Linked DNA regions of Cricetulus griseus. The protein of the gene in region 2 purifies or fractionates together with the protein of the main gene of each other region. This does not show direct contact. Links are inferred from orthologs where the notes say so. Each region holds a gene or a part of one and is shown on either strand. Other genes may lie near its edges. The genes, in order: Msn and Vcam1.

Region 1 (3,824 bases), on a different chromosome or scaffold from region 2:
GGAAGCGAAGCGCTCATGTAAGTATTTCTCAATAAAATAAAAATCCAGCTGTAAACAAAAGCTTTTAAAAACAAATAACAGTCAAGATAATTGATGCTTAAGAAATTTAGATATTTGTGTACTTAGTTAGCTTTCTTGTAACTAGAACACACTTTTTAGAGATTACAGAAATTCTGACACCTATGGTGTACCTACCTATTGACTAGAGTGTTTTCTATCCTATAGGAGGCCCTTTTGGATTCATTTGAGAACTCTAGTTAGACTTCAGGTAGTGAGACATGACATTGTCTACTCCCTTAAGAGTTAATCCAGGCCAGGCGTTGGTGGCACACGCCTTTAATCCCAGCACTCAGGAAGCAGAGGCAGGCGGATCTCTGTGAGTTTGAGGCCAGCCTAGTCTCCAGAGCAAGTGCCAGGATAGGCTCCTAAGCTACACAGAGAAACCCTGTCTCGAAAAAAAAAAAAAAAGAGTTAATCCAGTTGGGCTAGTCAATCACTAGGCCAAGGAAGTACCTCTCCTTGAAAAGTCATTCAACCTTAAGCTAAGGTAAAGAAGTAGGAATAATTATCTCTTTAATGAGACAGTGTGGTTTTCCTTCCCCGAGTTACTACCCCATAGTTTAGTCCCTGTTAGTTACCATGAGGTTCTTTTGGATGTGCTTATCTTACTAGCTCCTGATGCAAAGGGACATAACTCTTCCCTTCTCTTCTGTGGTTGTGTTTCAAATGCTGACCAGAACCTGCATATGCTTTCTCTGGTGCCTTGGACTTTTTCACACTTTGTGTAAAGATCTCCTTGCAATATGGCTACTTTACCACCATGTGGCTGACTTCCATATTGGCTTAACTCAAGGCCCTCTTAAGCTCCTGTGAATTAATAATAAACTTATTTTGAAAACTGAAAAAAAAATACCATAGCAGAAGAAGACACTTCTGATAAAGTATTTTAGGGTGCTATTTTATTTTTAAAGATTTTCAATTTCCCATGTTTATTTTGTGTGGAGGAGGTGAAAGGATACACACTCCATGATGCCCATGTGGAGACCAGAGGACAACTTGTTAGAATTTGTTTTCTTTCTCAATGTTGTTTTTGGGTATCAAACTCTTATTGTCAGGCTTGGTGGCAGGCACCTTTAGTTTGTGAGCCATCTTGCTGGTCCCAGGCTGCTTTTCATGATCAGAGTTGGTAAAAATGGTGATTTTGGTGGAAAGAGTACTTGATGTCAAAGATAAGAAACATGGGTTCTAGCCTTAAGTCTACTACTTCCCTGACAACTGACTCTAGGAAAAATGATTTTCTTACTCTGGTAATTAGGATTCCCACTGCAATGCAAATGATTGGATTACACAGTCTTTCCAGTACTTTTGGGTTTAGCTTAACAGAAGCCAGTCACTTTCACCTTTTTCTCAAGACTTTAAAAAATGTATCAGTTTATTATTCTATTACTGGTGTGTATGTGCATGCATGTGTGTGCTCCAGGGCGTATGTGAGCCATTTTGTCAGCCCTAAAAACTCAATGCTATTTTCCCTCCAGGACTTTGTGTTCTATGCTCCCCGGCTTCGGATTAACAAGAGGATCTTGGCCTTGTGCATGGGGAATCATGAGCTGTACATGCGTCGGCGTAAGCCTGACACCATTGAGGTTCAGCAGATGAAGGCACAGGCTCGGGAGGAGAAGCACCAGAAGCAGATGGAGCGGTAGGTGCCATAGTGTTGAACTTAGTAGTCCTAACTCTACTGCTGTGGTAAGGAAGTTTCTAAAAGCTTCCTAGACGGCTTAGGGTGTGGTATCAGCCCAGAACCAGGACTTGTGAACTGTGGAGGGGAGGAAACTCCTTAAATTCAGTGTCAGCACAGACATTTTTGTTTCTTAGAAACAGGCACCAAAAGTCTGGGATTTCAGAGGCTTCTAGAGGGAGGAACCTCTTCCAGTACTCTCCTATCCCCACCGGCCCATAGTCTACCTGAGAAATCTATTCTATTTCCCCTTCCCAAGGAGATCCAAGTGTCCTCTCCTTGAGCCCTCCTTGTTACTTAGCTTCTCTGGGTTTGTGGATTGTAGAATGATTGTCTTTTACTTTATAGCTAGTGTCCACTTATAAATGAGTGCACATCATGTTTGTTTTTCTGGGTCTGAGTTACCTCACTCAGGATGGGTTTTTCTAGTTCCATCCATTTGCCTGCAAATTTCATGATGTCATTGTTTTTAACAACTGAGTAATACTCCATTGTGAAAATATACTGCTGCATTTTCTTTATCCATTCTTTGGTGAGGGACATTTAGGGTGTTTCTAGTTTCTGGCTATTATGAATAATGCTGCTATGAACATGGTTGTGCAAGAATCCTTGTGGTATGGTGGATTGTCCTTTGGGTATGTGCCCAAGATACCAAGATATATCTGGGTCTTGAGGAAGATTAATTCCCAATTTTCCGGGAAATCACTATGTTGATTTTCAAAATGTCTGCACCAGTTTTCACTCCCACAAAGGTGCTGTAAGTTCAAGGCCAGCCAGGAATAAATAGTAAGAACCTGTTTTAAATAATGAAAATGGAAATAAAAATGAGCATGTATTTTTTTTCACAATGAACCTGGTTCTAATACATATAGATATATATTCATGTGTCAACATTAATTATATACGTGTATGTATATACATATGTTTGTGTGTGTGGCTTGTGTGTGCGTGTGTGTGCGTGTGTGTGTGTGTGTGTGTGTGTGTGTGTGTGTGTGTGTGTATACATATACATGCATGAGTTTGTGGGTACTTGGGTGCATGCGCACCACCCACAACTAAGGTTGACTTTTCCCCCAATACTGGTGTTTGGACTCAAAGCCCTGTGAATGTCAGGCAAGTACTCTATCATTGACCTATGATGACAGCCCAGAGTTCTCATTATTAAGAAGAAGAAAAAATACCAAGATTTGGATACAGTTTACTGAACTAGAACATACTCTGCAGGACCTCACAGTCTAGTAACACAGAGAATGAAGGAAATACATACATGTATGTGCTCACACTGTCTTACTTACATAGTCTTGAGATACAAAAGCTATATTATTAATTCCCTTAAATATTTATTGAGCAGTAAAAATTTCCTCATCTTATGAAGCTGTCATTCTAGTAGGAGAAGTTTTTAAAGATAGGGTTTCTCTGTGTAACAGCACCGACTGTCCTGGAACTCACTCTGTAGACCAGGCCGGCCTCGAATTCACAGAGATCCACCTGCCTCTGCCTGTGGAGTGCTGGGATTAAAGGTGTGCACCACCACCATCCATCATTCTAATAGAAGACAGATAAAATAAACAAATTGTTTAGCATATGCAATAGTGAAAAGTGCTATGAAAAAGTGTGTGCCAAGCATTCTGAAGGTCTGAGCGTGAGGACATGTAGCCAAGGTCTAAGAATGCTTCTTACGGGTTGGAGAGATGTTGGCTCAGCATTTAAGAATGCTTGCTGCTATTGCAGAAAACCCAGGTTCGGTTCCCAGCATCCACTTGGCAGCTTCCAACCATTTGTAACTCCACTTCCAGGGGATCTGGCACCTTCTAGATTCTGTGGGCACAGCATACATATTGTGCACTTATATATACAGGAAAAACACACATAAAATAAAAATAAAGTCTTTAAAACAAAAAATGATGCTTCCTTGAATAGGTAGTGAGGGCAGAAAAAGCAAATACTTATCCTAGATCGGCAACAAAGTCTGGAAAAAGGGAACCTAAAGCTGGGGTTGAAGGAAAGCAGAGTTAGGCCTAGTTGTCCAAGACAGAGTGCAAAGGTTAGTAAATAATTTTGCAGATAGAAGAAAGAGCAAAGCCAT
Region 2 (3,824 bases):
TTTTTGTTAATTTACATAGGATGTATTATGTATGTTATTAGATGAGAGAAAAGTTACTCAGATTCTAAATAATACAGTTAGGGCAGTTCTTTTTCTTATTGATGGTTAGAGTTAGCATATAAACAAGTGTGTTCATAATGGCATCATCATATGTCTGTGTCATGATGTTTTCTTCTCTTTTGTTTCCCTTCCCCATTGCTCTCCATGCCTGTCTCTTTGAAAACTGCTTCCCTTCCTTCCCCTGACAATATCGCCTTCTCCTTTCCTATTGGTATGTTCTACTTCCCCATCCCTTAGGATGGCTTCCTTTCCTCTTTTTAGTTCTATGACCTACAAGGACATACATATCAATGCATGCATGTATATAATTTAAAAATTCAACTTGGGTTTCACATATCTGAGAGAACGTATAGTATTAAGTCAGTTCTTTTCCCTCCTCTCCTCCTCCTCCTCCTCCTCCTCCTCCTCCTCCTCCTCCTCCTCCTCTTCTTCTTCTTCTTCTTCTTCTTCTTCTTTTTCAGATAGGTTTTCTCTGTGTAACTTTGGGTGTCCTCGAACTCACTCTGTAGATCAGACTGGCCTGGAACTTAGAGATCAGTAGACACCTGCCTCTGTCTCCCAAGTGCTGGCATTAAAGGTGTGAGCCTCCATGCCCAGATATCAGTTTTATTTTTGATTTCAAGAATTACCTGATTGGAGACAAAGATAGGCAGCTCCCTGTGAGTTTGAGGCCAGCCTAATCTACATAGAGACTCCCAGGTACTGTCTCAAAAACAAACAAACAAAAAAATAAAGGAAAGAAAGAAGAAAGGAAGAAAGAAAGAAAGAAAGAAAGAAAGAAAGAAAGAAAGGAAAAAATTCTGAACAGTATTTAAAACTCATAACCTAAATTTAGTCGTAAAATAAACTATCTAAATTTTGATAATAATGTCTAAATTGAGAACTGCACTGTGAATCTCATTTGATACTGAAAAATTGTGTAGCCAAGATTCACAGGTCAAGGGACAGATTTTGACTAGGTATGATATATTATGAAAAATCGTTTTTGTTCCTGTAAGTTTCTTTTTCTAGCTATAAAGTAAGTTACATAATAACCATTTTATCAGATTGTCCAGAAAGGAGATAATGAAAGATGGGGGATTAGTTTATATTTAGTAGTCAGCATATTGTGACAAATATTTAAAACATTTAAATTATATGGCTAATTAAAAGGATGGCAGAAGTCATTGTGCCCTTAGAAAAGAACAGGCAAGATGGCATCATTAGAAGAGAAAAATCAGGAGTGAAAACATTACTCATTGACTTAAAATACTATTTTGTTTATATTATTTATAATTAATATTGTAAATGTGTCATTATAGTTGATGGTATTATTTATGTCCATACTATTCCCAGCTGATCAAAAGCTGTCACTCTGAGAACTTGGCATTTAATAGAGTCTGACTCAATTTTCCCTTGATTATCACATATCACCATTATTTTTACTTGATATCTGCAGCATTCCCCAAAGACCCAGAAATTGAAATGAGCGGTCTACTTGTGCATGGGAGACCTGTCATTGTAAACTGCACAGTCCCTGACGTGTACCCTTTTAACCATCTGGAGATTGAATTGTTGAAGGGGGAGACTACATTGATGAATAAAAGTTTTGGGGAGGAAATGAGCATAAAATCCCTGGAGACTAAAAGTTTGGAAATGACCTTCATTCCTACCACCGAAGATACTGGAAAAGATCTTGTTTGCCGGGCTAAGTTACACAGTGGTGAATTGGAATCTGAACCCAAACAAAGGCAGAGTACACAGACTCTTTATGTCAACGGTAAGTACATATGTGGGGCAGCTACCAATGAATATGGATTTCTTTATTAAGTCCACTAGGTAATAGCTAACAGAAGGTTAACAATTAAAACCTCTATGAAGAAAACTGAAAAGGAAATTCAGGATAACAGTAATTATAATAAACTATTTTCTATAATATAAAACAAACCATTTATTTATGCAGGGGTCTATGCATTAGCATTCAGGAATGGGCCAGCCAGGCAGCTAGCTACTCAGCCTCAGATAGAATCAGTAGAGCTCAGGCAGCCACCTTCAGCTAGGCTGGCAGCTGGCTTGCCACAGGTAGCTTCACTTAAGTGTCTGAGCCTTATGTGCTCGGTCATTTCTCAGCGTGGCATCATCTCTAGGAAGGGGGTCTAGATTTACTCTTCAGAACACAGCTAAGAAAGGTGGTGATAAAAGCCTACGTCAGAAGCCCTGCCTCCACCCCACACCGCCATGTCACTTAACCCACATCATATTGGCCAAATCACCAACCCAGGTTCAAGGTGTAGTAAATAGGTTTTTCTTATTCACAGGGAATCTTCCAATGCATCATGCTTTGACAATACACACCATTGACCTTTCAGTTTCCAATGCTCTCTACTCCTTTCTCCCTAAGAAACAGCGTCACTTTTATCTTACTCTGGCTCTTCTCACAGGGTCACACAGAGCCTTCTCATCCACCATGTCCCACAGAGACTACACTGTACCTGATTTTCTATGCTTTGACATGGAAAGCATTTCTCCAGACTTTTCTGCCATTGGAAAATATCCACCCTTCATCTGAGTTCTAACTCTCATTGTGTCTCCTCCACAGAAACTTCCTGGGCTGGTTGTCACAGTTTGTAAACTACACTAACCCATTCCAATGCCTAGTGTTACAGCATTGTCCAGACTCCATGGAATTCAGGACATAAAAGGCTTCAGCTAAGTGTCTTTTCCTTTTCAGATGCCCCCAGGGAAATCACCATCTGGGTCAGCCCCTCTCCCATCGTAGAAGAGGGCAGTCCTGTGAACCTGACCTGCTCAAGCGATGGTTTTCCAACTCTAAAAATCCTGTGGAGCAGACAGCTAAGTAATGAGGAACTGCAGCCTCTTTCCGAAGATACAACGCTCACCTTAATGTCTGCAAAACCAGAAGATTCTGGCATTTATGTGTGTGAAGGGATTAGCCAGATGGGAACTAGCAAAAAATCAGTTGAACTGGTTATCCAAGGTGAGCAGAGTATGACTTTTAAGTTATTCATGGCTAGTGCGTTTCCTATTGAGTTACTGATAGTGAACAAGGTTATCTTTGAAAAGAAGGCCTTTCGGGGTTGAGAGATAGCTTAGCAACAAGGAGTGCCCACTGCTCTTACAAATGACCCAGGTTCTGTTCCCAGCACTCACTGCCTGTACCCTCAGTGCCAGGAGATCGCATGCCCTCTCCTTGCTTCCATGGACACTGCACTCACACGCAGGTACATACAAATATGTATAACTTAAAATAAATCTTAGAAAGAAAAGAAAAACCATTACTTTAAAATTATATTTATGTGCAACAAACAAACAAAAGCAGCAGATAACAACAACAACAAAATACGTTAAAAAACAGGTCCACAATGCTCCTGGAATGAATTCTCATTTAAGGCCAGATCACTTGTCTTAAAATCTTATTACCTCAAATGAAATGCTCACTCCAAAAACTGAGCTGGAAGTTCAGGAACACTGAAGAGATTGTGGTTTTAGTGAAAAGACAAGGGTAGGAAATTACTTCTGATTAAAACAATAACATTGGGCAAGTCCCAAGAAGCTGCCTAGGATTTGTTTAGAAGTCCAAGAGGGCTCCTTTTGTAAACTCTGAGATTAAGGATCACAGTCATTGTGCCCTCTGGCCTCCTAGGCTGCTGGCACAGAACCACTAGGGTGAATATAAATATAGGTCTCCCTTCTCAATGATAAAGACCCAAAATTGACACAAAACAGGTTCTGTTTGGTACATCGAAGCCTTAGGCTTCCATGAG

What was found.
Region 1: the proteins of Vcam1 (region 2) and Msn purify together in Homo sapiens (affinity purification with western blotting; 3 studies listed by BioGRID, with this or other methods). This does not show direct contact. The link is inferred for Cricetulus griseus from reciprocal best matches to the Homo sapiens genes VCAM1 and MSN.

Annotation. Positions count from the first base shown.
Region 1 is NC_048604.1:74,002,180-74,006,003, reverse strand, and holds part of Msn (moesin), read left to right. Parts: intron 1-1,535; coding exon 1,536-1,699; intron 1,700-3,824. UniProt on the Homo sapiens protein: Ezrin-radixin-moesin (ERM) family protein that connects the actin cytoskeleton to the plasma membrane and thereby regulates the structure and function of specific domains of the cell cortex.
Region 2 is NW_023276806.1:42,101,548-42,105,371, forward strand, and holds part of Vcam1 (vascular cell adhesion protein 1), read left to right. Parts: intron 1-1,498; coding exon 1,499-1,819; intron 1,820-2,770; coding exon 2,771-3,037; intron 3,038-3,824. UniProt on the Homo sapiens protein: Cell adhesion glycoprotein predominantly expressed on the surface of endothelial cells that plays an important role in immune surveillance and inflammation.